Linked DNA regions of Drosophila melanogaster. The protein of the gene in region 2 purifies or fractionates together with the protein of the main gene of each other region. This does not show direct contact. Each region holds a gene or a part of one and is shown on either strand. Other genes may lie near its edges.

Region 1 (5,463 bases), on a different chromosome or scaffold from region 2:
GCGATCCGCCTTGCTGATCCTGCTGCTGGTATCTACCAGAAGAGGAACTGCCGTTGTAGCTGTCGGAGTTGCCGCCTAAGCCTTGACCCAAAATGTCACTATTCTTTGGATAGTAACGCGACGACGACGAGTCACCCTGGTAAGATCGTCGAGGTCTTGGGCTCACCTCACTGTCGTGTTGGCGAATTTTGACGGAATTCTTACTATAGCCAGTGGAAAAGTGTCCGGTCGGTCCACCAGATGATCGGCTGCCGTTCCTGCCGCCCTCGCTGTTGCCGCTTATGGCCGGAGATCCTCCGTTGCCGCCGGCGCTCTTATATCCTGAGCCGTTAGAGCCGCCCTTGCGGTAATTGCCGCCCAGCGAATTCGATCCTGACGATGGCGAGGAGCCCTTGTCGATCTTCACCAGATTCTTGAGGTTGTTAAACGTATCGGTCGCTGTGGTGATCGGCAGAAGATTGGGACTGGTGTTGAGCAGTGTTTTGCCGACCGACGGTGTCGGTGGGGTTTGGCCACCGCAGCTGACGCCGATAACGCCGCCGCCTCCGCCACCACCGCGATTGGTTGGCTGCTCGTAATTGCGCTCGATCTCGCTGGGATTGGCCGTTATTACCAGTCGTAAATCGCTGCCGCCGCCGATGCTCTTCGTATCACCGGTGCTGGTGCCTCCCTCAATGATGATCGCTTTACCGCCCCGAAACTGATCTATGATGACGCCTGCCTGGTGCCCGTTGGTGACTCCGGACCAACGTTGCGGACTGTCGTCGTAAGAGTGCAAAAGGGGAGCGGCGTCGTACGTTGATAGAGGAATGGTGGATGCTTTTCTTGATCGACTCGGGGGCGAAATGGGTGCGTGCTTGGGTGGCACGGAGTGGGCTACTCTTGGCGTCTTGGTTGGTTTCCCCGTTTTCTGGGGATCTGGATCCTAGTTAAGGGTCTTAGATCCTCCTCGTCTGCTCTGTGGTTCTGATGATCCTTGGGGACACTCGACGAAACGCACACAAATCTAACACACACACGCGTACGCACACAGAGACAAGTTATGGGTTATGGGTGCTGGCTTTTTATCCAACTCTGCTACTGTTCCTTCCGATTTCGGTTCTTCCTGGTTGGTTCCTTTAGGCTAGAAGTAACAAGTCCTGCGTGGTAACACCTGGGATTCGTCTCTCCGTTTCGTTACGTCACACTGGGTATGGCCTTGCGTTTAGGGAATCCTGGAGAGAAATGGGAGGAGGAAACAAACAAAAGCCGGAACCGTGGCAAATTAATAAAAATGAGAATCAGACGAATCAACAATTACGTACAATTGTGACAAAAATACAAAAGAAAAGTGATCCTAGTGGTGTGCGTGTGGGATTATTTAAATGGACGTTATTTGCTAATCTCGTCCGATTGTTTTTGTTTACACTCGATTTCACTGCGAGCAAGCGCCAGCACAATAACAATAACATCACCTGCCATCCAAACTGGAAAATATGCATTTAATGGAAATAACCTCGGATGAGCACCTTCAAGTTTATTCCACTTCCACTCTCTCCCGCCAATTGAAACGGCACTGCCGCATTCTACGGAATCGCATGTGTGCAAGTGTTGGTGGCATTGCCATTTAAGCATTAAGTGCTGGGAAGATTATAATTAATCACAGGTTTACACAATGCCAACCAGCTTTGTGCCGTTGCTTAGTTTTATTTTTGCAAAGTTACTTTCGCTTGATTGACTCATTTGTTGTAGCCTGCCGTTCTTTGTTCCAGCTTTCTTTGTTTGGCGCACTCTCTCCCACCACAAACTTAAACAACACCAACACACATGCACCGAAAAGAACTAGAAGCTGCGTCCGTGTGTCAGTGTCCTTTCTTTGTGTTGGGGTTTATGGCCTCAGCTTTGGGGATCTCCTCTCTTTCTTCCTCTCTCCCGCTTTCCATTCAGCTGGCCATCCCGCTCGCACGCGATGCTGGTCTTCTGCGCCACGGAATTAAAGTCTCTTGACCCCGGGAAATAGGCAGAGGCGCACAACGAGCAGGGGGTTGCAATTGCTGATTAGCTGAGTCACTACTCCATTCCGCTCAATTTGCTTGGTTTAATTGATTGGCCATAGGACGACGAAGTCGCAAACAACCCTGCGATTTGTCATTGTGCGAGTACACCACATACATACATACGAACTTTGGGCCTGCAATAATGTAGTCTTTCGTGCGGGGAAGGGATAAGCCAAAACTAAACACCCCCAATGCGAAAACCCACCCTCTGCTGCATTGAGGCGTCGACCCCGACCTGAGAAATGAGCCCCCCCTGCTTCCGCACAGACCCAGTTGTGGATGATTTTGACCTCAATTCGAGCGTTCGGCTCGGCTCTTGTGCACAAGTGTTTGTCGCTGTCTGCATGTTTAACTGGCCAAGTGGCACACCCACATTGCAAACAGTATTTATTTTACTAGTTTTTCGGGGGCTTCAAGAGCAAATATCTTGAGAAAACCCATGAAAACGCACTCTTCTTTTTCCCCCATCGATAGTGACGAAAGCACACACACATGCAAGCAGCACAATGCGTGTGTGTGGGAGATCAGAAAGCAGCTGGAAGGCACACGCCAAAAGTGAAGCTGTGGAAATGGAATGGAAGAAAAAAAAAACTCCATGAGAGGGCTGTCTTCCCGGGGAGGGGGCACTGTAGATAACTCAAGCAAAGGCAGCGGGCAACGTCAACACAGCATTTCAGATTTTCCGACGTGCCGACGCCATTTTGTGGCGCAAATAGGTGTACCTACACACACAGTCATACGCGTAAACTTTCTTTGTGTTTTTTTTTCTCTCGAAATGATTCATGCAAATTAACGTTTTGATTGACGAATTTCGACCCTGCTTGCTCTTGAAAATTATTACCGCGATGGAGCGACTATGGCATCTAGGGGAGCTCCTCACTTTTATTGATTTCACTACTTGATTTTTCGCCGTGAAGAAACGAGGACGTTCACACAAGCACACACACTTATACAGACACAATAGAATCGGTTTTCTCTGGCACATCGTGGAAAATTTATAGGCTAAAATGCGGAAAATCCACCTGCAAAGAAGTGTACTTTCCATATTCTCTCTAAAGACAGCAAAAAACCATTTGCAAAGTATACTCGTTAAATTATTTTTACTAACCTTTTCTTGAGTAATTTCGTATAGCAAATCACGCAAAGGTTCCACGAAATAGAGCTGGAACAAAAATCGATGTGCGTTTGGTTTTATCGGTGTAGCCAGAAGATAGTAGTATCGATTTTTCGCATGCAGCAATCGATAACCTGTTAACTTAACTAAAAATGTGCCAAGTAGCTATTTCACAATCCATGGTGTGGAACTTGGAAAAATATCGATGACTCGAAAAGCTATCGAACCGGCTCGACTACTCAACAGTGCTGCAAAAGTTTTATTTCGATTAGGTGTTGACAAATTTTGAACGACCGCAATATTTAAATCGTATTTCAAGCAGATCTTTTGTACAAAAACAGTTTCATTTATTAATAATTGATATACCTGCTTTTTATGTTGTTGCTTGTTAAACTATAACAAAAGTAAACTAATTTAAACTATTATTACTAATATTATTATTATTCGTAGATGACCAAACTGTAATTTTAAATTAGTGAGCGAATATTGTATATTAATATTGTATCCTTATTGATTCGAAAGATTTTGCTTTATAGTTGCTAAGTGCATTGAGTATATTAAAAAAACAGTATCTAAGCGCAATACAACATTTTTACCTCTGATGTGCAATGCTCGTTCATATCTAGAACTGGATCTTGTGAGTATAAATTTGTTAATTAAAACTAATTACTAAGCCCACAAACGAGGACATCATTTTGCTACCTTCATTTTCAAATTGTTTTCGTCAGCGTTTACAGAGGGTATAATTTTATTTAATTGAAATGACCGATCGTTAGCAACCAGTGACAGATATAGTTTAAATATTGCGGCACACATCAACATTGTAGTCCGTGCCCTAGGCCGCACTATCGCCTCGTTTGATATATGTATTTCCCTGGCATTATCAACGCAGTCATCTACAACCCTTTTCCCTCCCCAACTCCTTGCTGGTTTTCCACACACAAATATACACACACGCACACTCACACACTGTCGCACTCGCAGGACAACCATGAAGAAGTGGGAAACCGAACAGAAGAACAATTTAATTAGTGATGACATGTTGCCATTTAATTTTCTTGTAAAAAGCGTAATTAAAAATGTTCGGCTCGCAGCTGGAGCTGCTGGAAGCGTCAAGGTGGAAGGATAAGGACACGAAGGCAAAGGCGAAGCTAAAGGATTCGTAGGTAAACAAGCCCGCAACGATCATATATCGGTAGGTTGGCTATAAATCATATTGCGACTGACTCCGGCGCATATTAGGGCCTCCTAAACGATGAGATAATCTATGGTCGCAGCGACAACAAAATGCGGCCACCGGCAATAAATTTGGAAAATACAAAACATTCTGACAATTTTCCGTGGCCCGTATGTGTGCGTGTGTGTGTGTGTGTGTGTGTGTGTGTAGTAAGTTTGTGAGACTATCCTGGCTGGCTGCACACATCGAGGACAAAGGGCACAGGACACAGTAGTCACGTCAACACTTTCAACTCTTTGGGCTGCCTTTTGTTTCGCCCTTCGTCGTATCCTTTCGGCAATAAAAATTCCGTTTGCTATTTATCTTGATTGTCCCCAAGTCCCCAAGTCGCCATTGCCATCGCCATCGCCCTATCGCTATCGCCATAGCTATATAGTCCCGTAGTCGGGTTTATGTGCAGGACCTAGTCCAAAGTCCGGACACTTGAATGTTGGTCGCCGTCGCGATGCCTGGACATTTTTTGCTTAATGAAATGTACATAAAACTAAATGAAATTAAGTTTGTGGCGTGCTCGTGCCAAGTCCGATGGCCCACTCCACATTGTAGTCTAAGCCGTGGCTGCGTGTTTATTACCGCGTCGCGCATAAAATGCAAAGAGCCTTTCCCGCGCTCAAAATGGCCGACAGCGAACCCTTTTCCCGGAAATCGCAATCCCTATCGTCCGTTTCGCATTGAAAATTAAAGCGGTCGCTGGAACCGTTGAAGGGGGTGGACGGGGCGTCGCAAAAGCTCATAAAGTCGAAATTAAATAATTTGTCTTCTTAATTTTCAAATAAATTCTTCATCATACGAGAAAAAGGGAAAAGCCAAGGCAGGGGGGAGGGGGGAAGACAATTGCCAGGCACTAAACAGTGAGCTGTGAGCACCCCTCGGCAAAGGAAAAGCCGACAGGATGGCAAGTGAACTCGGCCAGCCAACCAGAAGCGTGGCGAAATCGCAACCAGCACCCAGCATTCAACACACAGCATCCCCTCGCATCCGCAGGATAAACACTTGAGGAGCTGAGTTTTATTAAATTCGACCTACGCCACCCCATGAATATCCTTGCGCCCTCGCCCTCGCGACAGTTTTCGTAT
Region 2 (6,154 bases):
TTCCAGCCCACTGCTGCGAACGATGAGCTGATGCTGTGCACCAAGAAGATGCTGCAACTGCTGGCTATGAGCCAACTAATTCCACCTCCACTCACCAATCTGCATCTCATCATCGAGCACTTTGAATCGGCAGAGGTAGATCCATTATTTGCCCAAACTGTGTAGTAGCACCAACTAATGTATGACATTTCCAGATTGCCCTGCTGCTGCGCGAGTGCATCTGGAACTATCTTAAAGATCACGTGCCCTCGCCGGCGCTGTTTCACGTGGACAACAACGGGCTGCACTGGCGCAACACGAATACACAGCTGGCCAAGGTGCCGCCGCAATATGTGGACCCGTTGCGCCACCTAATGCAGCGTAAGCTGTCCACCCTGGGCCCCCACTACCATCAGATGTTCATCATGGGCGAGCTGATGGAGGGCGACTCAGAGCCAGATCCGACGGCCCGGCTGCAGATCGTTGAAATAGATTAAGCAAACGTAGTTAGCTAGCCTAATGTTGTAGTGTGAGCATGAGCGTGTGTGCATGGAATAATGGAGCGTCTGCGAGTGTTGAGTGTGGAATTTGGAATGTGCGAAATGTGCGAACTAAATGCAGTGTTTGTATTTTGATATTCAATGGGTTCTTTTATTTTCGTTTCATTGGTTTGTAAAAATTAAAATCTCAACCTAGGCCTTGCAAATACTGTCCAGCAGTTATTGTACCGACGGCGCCTGAAAATCGCATCATTCGTCGTGTGTAGTTTAGAATATAACGAAGCCAACAAACAATTTCACTTGAACATATTTCTTTATGTGTGCGACGCACCAATGGGCACCGTCTCCTCCGGCAATCCTCGGCTGCCTTCAGTACATCATAATATATTAACGACTAATTTACGCATTCATTTGTTTCATATAATACACAGTATTGTCACATGGATATATAGCTTTCGTGTCGCTCCCATAGCTCCCCAATTCCACAGCCAACTCCGCTGATGCGGGCTGTTGCTGCTGTTGATGCGACCGCTGCTGCTCCTGCTGCTCGGGCGGTACGAGGTTGCGCCTGAATTTCCTACATGATTCTATGGTTACAAATACTTGGCGAATGTAGGACAACAGAATAAAAACGGGAAAACAAAACCAAAAAGTTGCTCACAATTTGTTAACAAAGTTATTCCTTTCGATAAATCTTAGCATCTATGTTTAGTGGAGGCATCTAAGGCGCCTACGAAGTTCGGCAGTGGCTCAGCTTGCGCACGGAGATGCAGGACGTCAGCTTCTTGGCGCGCCTCTTCAGTGCCGATCCCTTCTTCTTGACGGGCGCCTCCTCTCTGCTACCGTTGCCCAGCGAATTGCTGGCGGCTGCGGCACTTGTGGAGGGCGGTTCGTAGGTGTGGCAGGCGGCTAGGGCTGCCGCCGACTGTTTGGCCCGAATTTCGGAGGCAGCAGCTGCCGCTTGGCGGGCGAGCTCCTCTGTAAAGGTAACCATGAAAGTAGTTCACTCGGCATTAGATTGATGTTGGTACGTACGATTTACGTCGTGTTCTGTAAAGTAGACATCCTCCTCCTGGGTGCCGTAGTGGTAAGCTTCCAAGTAAGGTATCACCGTGGAGTTGCGGTATTTGTCACCCTTCAGGGGGGGAATGGGTATCGGTGGGCCGGTCTTAACCGGTGCGGATCGGAACCAACTAAAAGCAGATTATAACAATCAGTTATCATGAAGTGCAATCAAGGAATATTCCTACTTACGTGTCGTGGCGTATTTCCTGCAGAGAGAGGCGTTTACTGGGATCAGCCTGAAGCATGCCGAGAATCAGGTTGGCAAAGTCCGCGTCCATTTCGTATAGCCACGCGGGCGCCTCCCACTGACCTCGCCCGATGTTCTCCAGCAGTCGGTAGATATTGTCGCCCTCGAAGGGATACTGTCCAGTGGCCAAATTGTAGCTGCAAATCCGTTAGATTAGTACAGTATATACATTTAATACATGATATTATACAAGGAAGGCTTACAGAGTCACTCCGCTGGACCAGATGTCCACCTTGAAGCCGGCGAACGTCTCGTGTCCGTTGGCAATCTCCGGTGGCTGGAAGGCCGGAGAACCTTGGCCCGTCGTGCATGTGTCGTCAGGTGCGAACAGATCCAGTTGCTCCGCCACACCGAAGTCGGATATCTTCAGCGTTTGATCCAGGGAGAGCAGCAGGTTGCCTGGCTTGATATCCTTGTGGATGACCCGGCAGCTGTGCAAGTACTCCAGGCCGTCGACTAGCTGTTTGAAGTAACCGTGCGCCTGAAACAGCGGCATCCGCTTGTCTGGCTGATAGTCAATCATCTCCTGCAGCCCGCCGACACAGTACTCCATGACCAAGTACATTTTCTGCTTCTCCTCGTTGTACAAAACATCGACCAGCTCCACGACATGTCGATGCTTCAGCTGCTTCAGCAAGGCGATCTCGCGCGTTACGTTCTGTTCGCCGTTGGGAATCCGGCGCAACTTCCGCTTAGTCAGGATCTTGACGGCCAGGCGGCACAGGTTCTCCGAGTTCATGGCCTCCTTCACCTTGCCGTACGATCCCTCGCCGAGAACATCGCCCATTATGTACTTGCCCACCATCTTAATGCTCTTCTTTTTCTGCTGATAGATGATGTCCTGGCTGTCGACGCGATTGAAGAACATATTACCCATGTCCAGCGTCACGCGATCGAGCGTCTCGATCTCGTCGTCGTCCAGCCACGTGACTTGCGGATGTGGCTGGTCATCGAGCAGCAGTTCATCCGGATTGTAGAAGCCAACGCCCGCGCCCGCATCATCCGCTTGGGCGGTGTCTTCTTTGAGCTCCACAAAAGCGTCGTCGTCCAGATCGGAGGCGACGTCATAGTGAAAGTTCTTATTGGCCAGCAGTACGGTCATCTCGTCCTCAACAGGATCCGGCTCCTCCTCCTCCACCTTGTGCTGGGCCCCTCCGCCCGTGGGATGATGTAGATGATGATGGTGTGCTGCCTTGACCTGTGCCTCCATGGTGGTCACAGTCATCTGGCCTGTTGCTCCTGCCCCTCCTGCTTCTGCTCCACCGGCTGCTTTACCTCCGACTGGCCGAGAGCTAGAACATTGCATAAACCTCCGCGGAGCCCCAATGATCACATATCGCAGGTGGCAGCCCCACTCCGGCGGATGGGAGTGGACGGTGTGGTCCCTGTGTTGCCTGTGGCTGCAAAACGTTTGGTTAGTTCATGGCTACACCTAATCCTCACCAGGCACACACGCGCTTTTATCGCTCACCTCTCGAAATACCTTTATTTTTGTAATCAATTCGCACACACTCGAATTGATTGCCGTGCGATTTTTCGAGGTCCCTCGTCGCCCGTCGTCTATTCTGCGATGTCCGCTGGAAAGGCGTTCCCCCCTTTCGTTTCACCGTCGTGCGATCTGTTTCTCATAGAAATTTGTGAATTCCTGTGTTTACTCTCGCCGTTCAATTTGTTCTTTTCCCCTTCCGAAAAATTGTTTAACAATTAGTTTTTGGCCAAAGTAAGTTCGCCGCAATACGGTCACACTGGTCGCGGGCAACCAGGGCTGCACGAGCACTGGTTGTTGTTGCTACTGTCGCTGCTGAAAAAAAAAAACATTAACGAAAAATAATAAATTTGTATTTTTCGGGACGAACGCTGGAATAACTCGAATCGAAGTGGAAGTCATGGCCGCTGGGACGACGACCAAGGAGCGCCTGGAGCGTCTGATTAACGCTAAAAAGCAGCTGGAGGCGCAGATCAACAGAAACGGACAGATCCTGGCCGCCGTAAGTAAATTCGCTTGCTCATCCGGGGATACCCTGCATCCGGGATAGGGTATGCACACTGTGGCAAGCTGTTGGTGACGCACCACCGTGGATATTCATGATCGCAGGTTCTTCAACTTGGACGGACCGCCAAGCCAAATGTTGATATATTCAATACCCTACTGTTGGTTAGGGTATGTCCACTTGGGCAAGCATTACAGCATTATCCTATGCTTTGGTGTAGGGTATATACACAATTGTATTTTGAGTACATTCTTTTGTTTATGCTGTATAGCATTGATAATGATATCTTCCTTCCAGAACGACAATGTGGGCATGAGTGGACCACTGGTGGACGCCGAGGGTTTTCCGCGCAACGACATCGACGTTTACCAGGTGCGCCTGGCGCGACAGACGATCATCTGCCTGCAGAACGACCACAAGGAGCTGATGAACCAGATCCAGACGCTGCTCAACCAATATCACAGCGAGATTGCCACCACAGATCCGGAGCTGGTGAACCGCGCCTCCGCTTTGGACCTGGACAGCGACCGTTCACCCGGTGGCGCTAATATCACGGATCTTGCTCCTGCACGCGCCATCGTGGTGGTCAATCTGGTCAGTCCCGATTCGCCCGCCGAAAGAGCTGTGAGTGAATGTAGTAAACAAGCGAAGATCACAGCATTGAGATGGGCCATCTTTACCATTTAAGGGTCTCTGTGCCGGCGATGCCATCCTCCGCTTTGGCTCCATCAATAGCGGCAACTTCAAGGGAGATCTCGCCCAGATTGGCGAGCTGGTGCGCAACATGCAGAGCCAGAATGTCCAGCTGAAAGTGAAGCGCGGCGAGCAGCAGTTGGACCTCATCCTGGTGCCGAAAACGTGGAGTGGACGCGGTCTCCTGGGCTGCAACATCGTCCTGCCGCCCGAGGCGATGGATCACTGATGTAGCTTTGTGTTTAAGCTTTTTTCGAGTTGCCTGTGCACTCCTGCCCTGCACTTTAGTTATCAGCCCATCTCTGCCAGGCCGACGAACATGGTTGCTCCAAATTGTGAAAATTGATTTTTGGACGCGATTTCAGGGCAATTTCAGCTGGAGTCATCTCGCTGACTGACAGCCGGGTCAGTGGGCCAAGGAGCAGCAGTGGAGTGACCCAAGGTGCACAGGTGACAGGCAAAAGGATGATATTGTGATTCGGTGGATTCTGTCGACATGACCGATTTTTTTTGCATTTAATTTTCATTCAATATGAAATGATGCGTAACAAAATGATGAGGCGGTTTTACTAACAAATAAGTTTTTATAGCGCTTTTACTGGTAAATAAAGAAGGATATATAATTAAAAATATAAAAAACAAATTTGGAAATTATTATCTAAAAGCATAAACGTTTTTGCAGAAGACTATGGTTTATTCTTCTTATGAACATTTCAATTTAACAGAGAAACAAATTCTAAAGAAATGTTCGATTTTAAAAGTTCTGTTTTTGAACATCCAGGTACTAGCCAAGTTTTCAACCAATGCTCAAGCGCTTAGTCAGGGCACAATGGCTTTAAAACTGTACTCCTTCTTAAGATAAAATTATTTATATATCTGACGTGAGCAATTTAATTGAAAGAGTGTATTGTTAATCAATTGGAATAATAGTTTTTATGAGATGGCAAAGTCATTTTATTTGTTTCGTTTTTTATATCAGGTTTTTTTTAAATTAAATGCAACAGTCTGCAGCCCAGACTCGAACCAAATTCCGTAACAGAATTCGCTTAACCGGTTAGGACACATGTTAGCTTAACAGTGAGAGAGATTTTCCGCGAAGAGAGCGAATTTGGCAGGACGAGCTTTCGCCCGAAAATCTATTTAAGCAACACGCAGCGTAAAAGTTTAAAACTTTTTTCACCCGCGCCGCAGCATCCGATTGCCACGATAAAAAAAAGGATAATTACAAATGCAGTGAAATTGTTGAAGCAAAGCGACTGGCGAATAACAATTCCAATTGCTTGCCAAAATATACAAAAATTATCCCCGCACCAGTTTGCTTGTTTTGTGCGCCGGAGCAAAGCTGCCGCAGCCGTCGAATCCGAATCGAGAGCATTACGGATGCGATTTCGAATCCGAATCCGAGTGGCGACAGGACGAAAGTGCGGCCCAATCGCCGTCAAATTACGCTAGTGAAAAAATCGTGGGGCGCCGCTGAATTTCTGTGCAATTAACGTGAGCGATTGAAAGGATCTGCCTGCTGCCAACAACGCGACCGATGAAAATTGCGAGCCGTTCGCGTTCGTCCTGTGCGGCGGAAAGGATGTGTATGTGTGCGGGCTTTATATAATGAAACACTTCCAATGCGTGGACCCAGCCAGCTCTCGTCCTTCTTTTCATCTTTTTTTTCGCGAACTGGA
Region 3 (6,509 bases), on a different chromosome or scaffold from region 2:
GGGGCACTTCCGGTGGAGCCTACGCCGCCGTCTCGCTTGGATTCAGGCGGTGAACGGTCAGGGACGGGGCAGCTAGTATACAGCTTCAAGCGAGATTTCATTGCAAACTCATCCAAACACAGAAAAGCACACACAGACAGATGCCGCGGATGTGAGGGTCCGCAACGTAATGTTGAATGCCTTGCCAACAAAACGCAACTGCTCACATACACCACACACACCATTAACACCACACACACCGTAACACACACACAAAAAACATTAAACAATTAAGGGAAAGAAGAGTAGGGTAGTCGGGTGGTCGGGGTGTGGCTGTGGCTGTGAGTGTATATTGTTAATAATACCCTTTTAAATTACGTTGCTTCATAGCCAAAATTCGTTTTCCACCGTAGAATAATTTCGCTTCTTAGTTTTTATTGCTATTGTGTATATGGCAAGAATCGATTACCTTAATGATAATATTATGATTATGATTACGTATTATAAAGCGCAGATTTACAACTGCAGATGCAAATAATTGTTTCGCGTCGTGTGAACCTGAGAGAGCGTTTATGAGAACAGAGCTTTATATTGATTAAATTGTAATTTGTTTAAATGAAATTTGGATAAGATGGATATGTTAATATTGGCCCACCACTTGAGTTGAGTTTGCCGCCTATTATGTTTACATTTGTGGTTTTGTTTCGTCTCGTCCAACTTGTTTTGTTTAATTGTACTTGAACGGGTATGTACCTAAATTCTATTATCACGTTCTGATTGTTTCCCTTTTACATTTGATTTGATTCATTTGTCGTGCAGTAGCATTAGCGATATTGGCTTCCAATTCCAAATTCGAAATTCCTCATTTGCCAGGAACCTGCCACATTTGCCGCACATAGCGTTTAAGAGTCATCTGCCGAACTCATCGAGCAGCAACTCACACCCACGAAACAGCAACTGCAACATGAACACTGCAACACAACAACACTCACACACGTGAAATCATTAAGCGAACATATATTTTAATTATAGACTGATTTATTAGTAATTGAAATTAATCTACAAATATGTATGTGTAATGGTACCGTATGTATTTCAATAAAATTTATCGGTTTAAGCATAAATCTGAATAAACGCAGGAATAATAATAAAAATAGTTAAAACCATCTATGTGCCACATGTTATTGCTTCACGGAACTCTGGGAGCTTTGCAGCCAGAAAATCTAAAATTGATAAAAACCAAATTGATCACTTTCAGTATATGCGCGTAATTCACTTTATTTGTTCATTTTGTGACTGGACTGGAGTTGGGTTCACTCCGAAAAACAATAAAATATTTAATACTTTATAATAACACTAGAGTAGTTCTATGATTGGACGATGCTTGGATAGTTTCTAACAACTGCTCTTGGCAGATACCCTCCGGGTACCGACTATTTGGAGCAGGAAACATTTCCATTTGCGAGGGGTTGCGAATTCATTTACGGGATTATTTATACAGATTAACTTTTCTTTAATCAAACAAATCACTTCAATGCGATTCAACTCCAAAAACCGAAGTGGGTGAGTAATAAACTTAAATTTAAGTTATGGAAACTAAGTAACTATGAACTAAATGGGTAATTGACTTTGAGAATTCCACGCTGAGTCATTTTTAGATTTTCGACTTCTTGCTGCTGTGTCCCTCAATGCCGAGATTGCAGCGGGAGGCTACGTCCTGGGCTGAGGTGACCGTGCTGGGCACTGCACCGCCGCCCAGAGCCGAAATGTTGCCATTGCTGGGTCGCTTTCGCGTGGGCGAGTGAACCGGTGACTTCTGCTTGAGGCACTCCACATCGTTGAACACAACTTGGGCACCACCGCCACAAGTGGGAATTACATTGCCCTTATACAGCTTCGTCTCCACATCGCCATCCGTATCCGCATCCTGCGAGACGAGACAGTACTTCGTAGTTCCGTGAGCAGTCAACTCCTTCAAGTCGGTTAGTTTCGTTACGGATTTGCGATTCTTCAGATACGGCTGCATAATAGTGCCAAGCGGAACGGGATTAGCTGCCCGATGCTCCAGCCACTTGTCGCCTGCGGATCGAGAGCGTCTATGCCGATTGTTGGCCGCTGCTGCACCCTGTTGGGATATAAAATTATCAATAGATATTGCAATATTCTAGGATTAATCATACACTTACATGACGTGGCGTTGCATATATATCTGTTCGTGTAGCTGGCACCGAGGACTCCTCCGTGCGCGCCGTATATGCACCGCGATCTTTCTCATTAAGTATGTTTTCCGAGCTCTGTGACCGCGGCAAACTGGGCAGATCTTCGGACTGCAGAATGTTGGAGACCAATCGCAACTTCTCGTCCTTGATGCGCATGCGTTCCTGCAATTTCACTCGCTGTTCACGCAGCTTTAGTTCAAACTCTCGCTTATTTTTGTCCGACTCAACGGCCAGCTTGGAGCTGAACTTCTTCTTTTGCTTTTCCTTCTCGTGCTCCTTTTGGGTGAGCATATTCTCCTTCTCGTTCAGCTTGAAAGTCAGCTCTTCAATCTGCCGTTCTTGCTTGCTTAGCGTATTGTTAAGCACGTCAATGGAGCTCTCGTGGATGCGAACCTTCTTCTCGAGTGCCGCACTGCGATCGCGCTCCTGCTTGTAAACAGCCTTTAAGGAGGCGAGCTCCGTGCGCAGCTGAAGATTGTCGCGGTCAAGGTTCATCAGCATCTGCCGGAAGCTGTCACCTGAAAGTTGTGGAATTAGTATTTCAATGTTAAGATTAAGAAAGTGACGTCTTACATTTAATGTCCAAGTTGGCACGCAGCTTCTTTCGCTTTTCTATGCGCTGCTCCAGATAATGCATTAGCTCGCGGATTTTGATCTGTGCCTCGGGACTGTCCATTTCGTAGGCGGGAAAATCGGGTCCCAAACTGTACACCAAACCCACGTCCACCTCCAAATCCTTGGCCTCAGGAATGCCCAGCTCGTTTAGATTATTAACGGCAATCTTGAACAGCTTGTTGGCCTTGCGACGGCCGGGAGTCAGACCCAAATCTTGCTTCATAGGAGTCGCCCGAGCAATTTGCACCTCCTGGGTCATCTCGGCGAACTTCATCACTTGCTAAACGGGATAAATAAATTTTAGGGACCAGAGTACATTGTTGTCAGAAAAATAGTTTACCATATTCTCATCATAGTCCTCAATTCTTGGGTTGATGCACACAATCATGGACACCTGGCCTTCGCCATCGAAGTAGTTTTTAAACATGTGTGTGATCTTGGAGTCTCGATAGGGGACCTTCTTGGGTGCCAATCCATTGCTAGCCGCGAGTTGGTTCTCGCGCAGATATTCCAGGCAAGTGCGCAGCGTCATCAGCGAATTATTGATGTTGCCCGCCTCACGGAGTCGCACACCGGTGTTCTTGGTCCTTGAGGATCGCTCACTGCCCGCCAGATCCACCAGGGACAGTTGACTCACTGTGATGTTTTGCCGGTCCTGAACCACATTCTCACCCTGGCTATCAGTGGGCGCCTGCACCAAGCGTATATTGAACACCGAGTGACTCCTACTGGATTCTGCATTGAGAACAGTGTGTCCCATTCGTTTGCGCTTCTGGCCCATTTGAAAGACCTCGAGGGCGTCCTCCACGGTCTTGACCTCCACCTCTGTGACGCCGTGGACGAACATGTGTCGATTGGCATCTTCACGAATGATTTTGCTCTGCAAAGTCCTGTCGGGTCAAGAATACAGTTAGATTTCTTTAAATGTAATGCTTAATAAATACTTACTTCTGTATACCCGAGTCCTCAAGGAGGTCGTAGACGCTGTTATTGTAAATTTCAATATAGGTGACAAACACCGAGTACATGTTGTCCTCATCCAAACCCAGCAGCGGAATTGGCTCCACGGAGGCCTGGGATGCAATTTCCGGATCCGAGTCCTTGTGCCTGAAGGCAAATCGTCCTGAGCCAGCAAAACGCTGGTTCATCTCGTGTTGGCGCTCCAAAAGCGCATCCTCTTCGGACAGGATCTCGAAGCCATTAAGCTTGTCCGGCTTGAAGACGAACTTCTTGGCCTGGTAATCTGAAATGGTGCGAAAGAGCACGTCCAGGCAGCGCGGCATGATGCCGCGGTGTCGCAGGTTGCCGGTCATGGTGTACGTTTTTCCACTTCCAGTCACGCCGTAGGTGAAAAGCAGACTGTTTCGGCCTTTCAGTAGGTTCTCCACCAACGGCTGGGCCACAGCTGCGTACACATCCTGCTGCGTGGCATCCGGCTGGAAAACGTGCTTGAATATGTACTGAACCTCGCGCTGGGCGCCGTTGTGTGGCTTGTGATGCTGCAGCAGCTGATCCTGCGGATTCAGTGCGATCGTCGTGGAGTTCTTGACCCTTAGGGAGGTGAGATCTGCGTCGGATTGTAGTGGCCGCACTCGACAGAACACATTCACTGGATCCCTGGCCTTGTCGGAGGTGTCTCGTCGCTGTTTCTCCACCGTTTGATGCACCCGCGGAGTTTTCGGGACGACACGCATCGGCGTCCTGGGTCTGCAAATGGGTATTCTCATTGATGGAGTTGTTCTTTCGGGAACTGTCATATCACTTACACTGCCTTCATGTTGTCAGCTCGTTTTTGCAACTAATTTGATATACGGGAGTTGGGTTTCTTCTTGTTTTGTTGCTGGAATCGATCTCTCTTTTAGTTCGTTACCTTCAAATTTACAGCGCCAAGCGACGCCACGCTTGGTTTTAGAGTGACCGAACTTTAGAAAGCGGTTAATGCTGCAAATACCATCCCCTGCTCCAATATATACTTGATACATACTGAAACCGAGGCTATGTACAGTGCGTGCCATTTGAATAGGTTAAAATATTTAGATATACTAGATTTTAAACTAATTTAATACTTTTATTTATGATCTCACATACCAAATTAAAAGTACAATGTTTATAAATTAGTATGATATTAAGGTATGGAATGGTTATGATGATGCCAAATATTCTTTTAAAATTAATTAAAGATCATTTGAGGTCCCTATTGCTTTTTATTAAACTTTAGCACTGAGAAAATTTTCCGCATTAGTGCCGGTCCGTTCCAGTAGCCGTTCATCATCAGCTTCCAGTAGAGCACCGGCATCAGCTCCTTCTTCATAAAGAACATGGAGTACCTCTCCTTGGACTGGTCCAATGGAAAGGTCTCCACGGGGGTGAGGTTGTAATCAAACTCAGCCAGGATGCAGGAGCTGTAGCCGGTGACGATGGGGCAGGACGAGTATCCATCGTAGATATCCGTTGGGGCTTTGCCCTCGATCGCCGCCATTACGTTTTTGAACACAACCGGTGATTGGGCGGCTGGAGGTGAAAAATCAATTGAATATTCTGATCAGGATTCCCAACCCATTTACCTGCCGCCGCGGCCGTCTTCGAGTTGGGACTGGACGCCGAATCGCCGATGGCGAACACGTTGCTGTACTTGTTGTGCTGCAGCGTCAACTGGTCGACGTCCACAAAGCCAGTGGGGGTTACCAGTTTCTTGCAGTTGGCCACCACATCCGGAGTGCTCATCGGCGGAGTCACATGAAGCATGGAGTACTGAGAAAGATATAATACTTATATAAGTTTAATTTCATGGCCTTCAATTCTCCTATTTCTGCAATACTATACGACTTTAAAATTGATCTTAGTTAACCTACTCTTCATATTTCTCGCTTTAAGTAGAAAGATATAGTTCTAGGATCTAGATCTAGATCTATATAGTATCTAGAATACCCAATTAATTGACCAGCACTTACCGTTTCCTCATAGTGAACTCCTGGTTTGGCGAGATCCTCGAACACGGCTATATTATCTTTATGTCTCACTTCAACGAGATTTCTTTGAACATTAAGCGTGATATTTCTCCTCTTGATCAGTTTCATCAGGGCCTCTGCGTAATGCTTAACACCAAAAATCACGGGAAGCGATGTATTGTAGATGATATTGACGTTGTCGCGACGACCCATCTGAAAAGGGTTTCAAATTGAAGTTGTTTGCCAGATATTCTATCTAAATGATGCACACCTTCCTAAAGTAGTGCTCAGATATATAGGCGATTTTCTGCGGTGCACCTGCACACTTAATGGGACAATTGGGAAACGTGAATATAGCATTTCCTTTGTTGGTCCTGCGCAGACATTCGTACACATGATCCACGTACTTGGGCGAGTAGATGGAGCAAACATTACTGTCGGGGGTCTCCAGGGCCTCCACCAGGCCAGGTATCTATGGATATGTGGATATGGATATTAGCAACTATTAAACGTACTGATACCCTACGTACCTTTCCATAATTGAGCTGCAGTCCGGTGGCGATGATCAGGAAGTCGTACTTGATGGTCTTGCCACCAGAAGTGCTAACCGTATTATTATCCGGATCGAACTCCAGCGCCTTCTCCTTCACCCATTTGGCCTTTGTGGGCAGCACATCGGCCATTTGGCGGTGGCTCTGATCCAATCTCTTCATACCACCTCCTATTAGGGTGAACATGGGTTGGTAGT
Region 4 (6,220 bases), on a different chromosome or scaffold from region 2:
AGCAAAAGGCGGCGGCCAACCGGAGCGGGATCACCTAGTTCCTGGTACTAGCCGTCGTCTGCCTTTGATTAGCCTTAAGTCTTCAAGCCCTGCCACCGCTGCAAACACTAGAGCTAGGCCTTCCATGGGTGCAGCCAATAGCAATCACCAAGCTTCGAGAGAATGAGACCACACACACACACACTTTGTACATACACCGCGGGAAGCTTGGGGCACGACTTGGTAGTGACTTAGATGCGCCAAATTAAATTTACAACAGTTACGAGTTAAACAATTGATAAAAGCAATCGAGAATTACATAAAATACATAAAAACTGCTAATGGAACAATATTTAAGCAAGAGCAAATCGTATCTAATACAACTACAAAGCGGTTAGAAGTCTATTTAATTGCAAATTGAATTCAACTCAAGCATATATATTATAGAAATTGTTGTAAATTGTACTTGTATATACGTACCAAACAAAATACAAAGCAACGTTAAAAAGTTACGTCCATGAAATGCAAACGAATGTAAAGGCGAAAGGCAACCAAATATTAATTGAAAACTATAGATAACAGAATCGTACGATTACGCTAGATTTATGTATAGTTATACCCTCATAGCAGTACACGAACCGAGCAAACTGACAAATGAATTGAGTATTTACCATTAATTTCATGATTAAACTTTACACAAACATGAATCACTAGTTTAAGTTTCTCAGCAAAAGGAATTATGTATATTTTAATTTAAATTATGTTCAACAACGTCTCCAAATAAAACTGTCAACTGAAGCTAAGCTAATCTCCCGCTTTGGTGTCCAGCTTGCCGCCCTTTTCGATAATCGACCCTAGATCCTTGAGCGACACCTCACCGGTTCCTCTTTCCAGAGGCTGTGGCTGATTGGGACCGGGTTTCCAGCCCACAAAGTAGATGATTTGGAAGGTTGCAGGTATCCCCTTCTCGTTGGGCTTTGCATACAGCTCCTGGTAGATGGCACTGGCCGCGAGCATCGTTTCTCGACTAAGATGAGCGGGTCGATTGAATGCAGCATTGTTCTCTGCCATACCCTTGAGATCCCACATCAGTTCGAACATGCTGGGATAGCCGATGACCAGTTCATCGGTGTCTATTGTCAGCATGGTGAAGCCGGCGCGATTAAGCAGGGAACCAATATCCCTAATCTGAGTGAAGGGCGAGATGTGCGGAGATATGCCACCTTTGCGCTCCAGCTCGGCCAATTGGAGCGAGGAGCGCAGCTCGTAGAGGGTGTCTCCACCAAACATGGAGGCTATAAAGACCCCATCCGGTTTCAGACTCTGCTTAATTCTGACAAAGCAGCCCGGCAGATCATTCACCCAGTGCAGACTTAGGCTAGAGATGACCAGATCCAGTGAATTGTCCTCAAACTGAAAGGGATTCTCATTTAGACTTGCAACTTTGGTCTAAGTAGATTAATTACCCACATCCAGCTGCTCTTCGTCCTTAACTAGTTTCACCATTTTCAGACCCGGAGTGCCCTGTGCCTGCTCCAGCATCGTAGCACTGGTGTCCGTGAGCGTCAGCTGCTCCACACTCTCCGCCAGAATGTGTCTGGACAGATAGCCGCGACTGCATCCGATATCCGCCGCCGCCTTGAACTCCCGCTTAATGTCGAATACTCTGTCAGCCAGGCGGAAGCCGATCTCCTCCTTCAAGTAATCGTATAGTCCAACGTCTTCGCTGTATACGTATATTGTTTACTAATTGAATATATACTCTAATCCTGGCGAGAAGATCTCACCTGAGTGCGGCCCTTTCCTTCTGTAATCTCTTGGCATTGCGGTCAAATATATGTTGCGATGTTTGGGTGAGTGAGGATAGGGCGCGGAGTTCACATTTGACCTTTAAGGTCGATAGTTTTGTTAATTTTCTTAACATATTCCGACTTTTGATCAGAGCAGTGCTGTAATAAGCAACCGGCTGCGGGAAAATGAAAATATTACATTTTTAAAATGGAAAGTCGAAGTATGTATACCCTACATGTCTTATATCTTGTGGATTCTTAAATTTTTCTATTTATGAAAGTAATACCAATGTTGTTTAAACAATTGAAACGTCATGTGTGACTATTTACAAATTATGTATACAATGTTTCACGTATTATTGAATTTAAATTATTAACGGGAACGTGGTGATATATTTTTTTTAATATTTAAAAAGAAAGAGTATTGAACGAACAGCTGTTGGCCAGTGCTGGAAAAGAGCGACATCAAGACATTCCCATTCGGCCGTTGGCTTACACTGTTAGGTAGTGCCTATTTGTTTTGGCGCCAAAAGTGACGGGAGGTCATCGCGAGAGATCAATTGAAATTAAGCATTAAATCACATCATGAGCTTCTTGCGCAGTGCCCTGCGCTATGCCCACACCAATGGCTACACGGGACTCCTTTACACTCCGCGCGGCGAGTTCATCATCACGTGCGGCACAGATGGAGACATCCGGCACTGGACCTGCATTAGTGACGACGATCCACGCTCAAGTTGCCTGGGCGAGTTCGTCATGTGCATAGCCCACACGGGAACCCGTTTGCTGGCCTCGACGGATCGGAATACGATCCATGCCTACACCTTTCCCGAGATGGACAGCGATGGCATCCTCATGCGATTCACGGCACCGGCTACGTGCCTCAAGGTATCCGGTGGCTATACTGCTGCCGGCAGCGAGGATACCACTATAAAGGTGCTTAAGGGAGATACAGCTGGCAACGAAACGGTGCTGGAGGGGCACACTGGTCCCATTCTGGCACTGGACTTGTTTGCGGAGCGAAAGCTGCTGGTTTCCGTGGCCGGGGATGGCCAACTGAAGGTGTGGAACTTCGAGGAGGGCAAGGAGCTGAAGACCATTGGGGGCTTGCCAAAGGTCAACAGTTTCGAGAGCGCCAGCCTGTATGGCACTCCGCATTTCGAGCCACAAAGCGGTGAACTTCTGGCCTATGCCGTTGACAACGAGATTGTGGTCCTCAACACGGCCAACTGGGAAGTGGCCTTTAAGCTGCGCGACGACTCGGTGTCCAGTAACTACAGCTGCTGCCAGTTCTCGCCCAATGGTGAGCGCCTGGCCGCCGGAACAACCAAGGGCGAGGTGAGCATCTTCGATGTAAAGAAACGGAAGGCAGTAACAGTGGAGATTCCGCCAAGCGACTGCAATGCCATAACATGCCTTGCCTGGAATCTGTCCGGAGAGGTGGAGGTGGCCTTCTGCGATGCCACTGGCCAGCTGGGAACCGTATTTCTTGGCGATGCAGTCGACACAGGCAACGGCGATGGATTGGTGGACGACCAAGCCGAGCTGTTGGGCGATGACTATGAGTTTGAGGCCGGCGATGACGTGGACACTGCAGCAGACGACGGCGATGGCGTTAGTCTGGAACAGCTTAAGCGCAAGGTGATGAACTTTGCGGATCCCGTAGATCACGATGACGCCTCCAACCAATCCCTGGACAGCAGTAGCCGAACTGTACCTGCACCCGTTGCCCCGCAAATCAAGCTCTTCAAGCAGCAGACGGCCTTTCAGCCCAGTGCCACACCGGCCGATCTAGAGCATCGCTACATGGCATGGAATGATGTGGGCATTGTTACCGCCCATGTGGAGCCCTCAGGCGATAGCTCCATCGATGTGGAGTTCCACGACGCTAGTATTCACCACGCTCTACACATTAGTAACTACAATCAGCACAATTTGGCCAGTGTGAGCAGTGGAGCTTTGGCATTGGCCTCCAACGAATCCAGCAAGTTAGTAGTCATTGCTCTGGCCGCCGCCGGAAACAAAGAGTGGTCACTCAGCCTCCCGGATTGCGAGAGTGCAGAGGCTGTTGTGGCCACGCGATTTCTAGTGGCTGTGGCCACCAGCTCCAGTTTTCTGCGTATCTTCACCGTGATGGGTACACAGCGTGAGGTGCTAACCATACCAGGACCAATGGTGGCTATTGCTGGACACGAGCACAGCCTAATGGTTGTTTACCACAGTTCCGCGCCCAGTCAGACGCAGCAGCATCTCGCCGCGATGTTGGTGAACATAAATGGATTGAGTTTGCGACAAGAATATCTGCCCGTTCCGCTGACTCCAGGCCGGCAGCTCACCTGGTTTGGGTACAGCGACACCGGATCGCCGAGTATTGCCGACAACATGGGTCTGCTGCAGTTGTATCGCCGGAGCAGCAACGCCTGGTTCCCCATCTGCGACACCATGAAGCAAAGCACCAGTGTGTCGCACAACTTCTTTGTGGTCGCTGTATCCGAGAAACGTCAGATAGTCCAGGCGGTCCTGTGCCGCGGTACCTCCTATCCCATGACCAATCCGCGTCCCATGCTCCAGGAACTGCGTATGCAGATCCCGCTCTGCGACGTCGAAGTGGAAAAGTCCGAGCTGGAGGATGCACTGCTGCGGTCCAGTCTGATGCAAATGGATGGGGCAGAGAAGATGCAAAAGGAGACGGCCATCAAGCTGTTTGCATTGGCCTGCAGCAGCGAGTGCGAGACGCGAGCTAGGGAATTGATCGAATCGATTGCCTGCACTGATCTGCTTCAACTGGCCGTGAAATACGCCACGAAACGTGGACGCATCCACCTGTCCGACCGTCTGTGCGAACTGCTACCTCAATTGGAGGCGGTCCAGGAGGCACGCAAGCAGCAGACTTTGTTGGGTGCCAGCGGCATTGCGGCCACCATTGTTCTGCCAATGACTCCCACATCGGCCTCACAAAGCGGCCCAAAACCCAAGGCCATCGAGCTGAGCTCGGCCAAACGGGGCACCCTGAAGAGATTGGTCAATTCACCCAATATGTTTAAAGCAGCAGCAGCATCGGCAGCATCCCGGCCCTCGACTCCGGATATCACACCCTCTCCGCTGGACACCCAGGAAAACATATTCGGCGAATCGGAATCCGAGGTTCCCATGGGTAAAGCCACCGATCACCGGTCCCCTTTGAATTCGGTTAATCCCTTTGCTATGAAGCGCAAACTGGGCGACACTGGAGTCATCTTTGGATCCGAAAAGCTGAAGCTGGCAAAGAAATAGTCTGTTTGTAGATTGATAAGTAGGTTTAAGATAAATATATTATATAAATAATGTGTAACGTTTATCCCATTCTGTGAGCTACATGTAAAATAACAAATTTTTATTTGAGCTTTTTATGGAACAGAATTGTTAAGGATTAATTTGCTTATTTAAATTTAAAGAATAAAATATACTTTTATTTATATTAAAATGTATATTCTTTAAAAAGCGGAGGGTACAAGTTTATTTAAAATATGATCAATATATTTTTAAATATTTTAAAATTCTACAAATTAAACATTCTGGTCTCCAAAGAATACCGTTGGTATTTTTATCTTTGGAATTAAACCAACCAAATAGTGTGACCAAACTTTGTAAATGACATTAATCGATCGAAACGATCATTTTAGGCTGGATTTTCCACGACTTTCAAGTCAAAGTTATGTGTTCGTTTAATTCTATTTTGTAAATAAGTGTTACACGCTCAAATTCCAACATAAAATTACACACTCATACACATAGGAAAAAACACAATATAAAGGTTAGAAATAATAAGCAAAAAAGGTGCTAGATATATCAAAAAAATAAATATATATATTTTTTAAATAACAAACTAAATTGACAGTTACATACACGTATGTAAGTATTGCGGCAGCGAGTGCTTCCTTTTGCGTTGTTTACGAAATTCTCGCCACTGGAAGAAAGCTAAAGAACTCCGTAATGAATTTCCAGTTCCAGCGAACTGATCACCGCTATTCAGAAGGCTCTCTGCTGCAGACGCAAACACACACACAAGCAGGCAAACACACAGGGACATCGTTAAAATCTAAAGATGGAGAGACTCTATTTCCAATTTAATGTTGAATTAGTTTTCGTTGAAGCCATTTTTTAACCCAACAACTTTTTTAAGAAATCCCCGTCTGGGTAACCCGTGCATATAAAACCCAACGCTCGCGCATCACTCTCTTCATTTGTTACCTGAACGTTACGCCGTGCATTTCGATCGTCAGCTGAATAGTACATACTATATCATATATAATATTTCAACGTGTGTGTGTGTCTGCGTCTTTGCGTTTTGTTCGCGTCAAATAAGTAACTTAATTGCGATTATTCGCAACAACAATTATCGATCCTACCCTTTTTGTTTGAGTGAGTGTATTACAATAACAAAAACATAGAAAAAAACAACAGGAAAAAAT

Evidence for each region.
Region 1: the proteins of Lkb1 (region 2) and NAT1 purify together in Drosophila melanogaster (affinity purification with mass spectrometry, with the first as the bait; one large-scale study listed by BioGRID). This does not show direct contact.
Region 3: the proteins of Lkb1 (region 2) and pav purify together in Drosophila melanogaster (affinity purification with mass spectrometry, with the first as the bait; one large-scale study listed by BioGRID). This does not show direct contact.
Region 4: the proteins of Lkb1 (region 2) and Ctf4 purify together in Drosophila melanogaster (affinity purification with mass spectrometry, with the first as the bait; one large-scale study listed by BioGRID). This does not show direct contact.

What each region holds. Positions count from the first base shown.
Region 1 is NT_033778.4:12,913,746-12,919,208, reverse strand, and holds the start of NAT1 (NAT1), read right to left. Parts: upstream 3,216-5,463; 5' UTR 3,145-3,215; intron 1,352-3,144; exon of another isoform or gene 1,305-1,351; intron 1,215-1,304; 5' UTR 812-1,214; coding exon of another isoform or gene 1-811.
Region 2 is NT_033777.3:13,674,053-13,680,206, reverse strand, and holds Lkb1 (Lkb1 kinase), read right to left. Parts: upstream 3,659-6,154; 5' UTR 3,263-3,658; intron 3,192-3,262; 5' UTR 3,098-3,191; coding exon 1,995-3,097; intron 1,929-1,994; coding exon 1,734-1,928; intron 1,673-1,733; coding exon 1,515-1,672; intron 1,458-1,514; coding exon 1,210-1,457; 3' UTR 1,141-1,209; exon of another isoform or gene 1,067-1,140; 3' UTR 777-1,066; downstream 1-776. Other genes in the region: omd (oocyte maintenance defects), read left to right, coding at 1-135, 195-476; CG9588 (uncharacterized protein), read left to right, coding at 3,678-3,779, 4,080-4,406, 4,471-4,704.
Region 3 is NT_037436.4:4,240,959-4,247,467, reverse strand, and holds pav (pavarotti), read right to left. Parts: upstream 4,735-6,509; 5' UTR 4,591-4,734; coding exon 4,580-4,590; intron 4,521-4,579; coding exon 3,762-4,520; intron 3,704-3,761; coding exon 3,154-3,703; intron 3,094-3,153; coding exon 2,772-3,093; intron 2,717-2,771; coding exon 2,166-2,716; intron 2,105-2,165; coding exon 1,634-2,104; 3' UTR 1,235-1,633; downstream 1-1,234. Other genes in the region: Sqor (sulfide quinone oxidoreductase), read right to left, coding at 5,008-5,324, 5,378-5,564, 5,765-5,974, 6,033-6,233, 6,292-6,509.
Region 4 is NT_033778.4:13,979,370-13,985,589, reverse strand, and holds Ctf4 (chromosome transmission fidelity 4), read left to right. Parts: upstream 1-2,272; 5' UTR 2,273-2,354; coding exon 2,355-5,042; 3' UTR 5,043-5,228; downstream 5,229-6,220. Other genes in the region: CG8067 (uncharacterized protein), read right to left, coding at 784-1,392, 1,450-1,705, 1,767-1,903.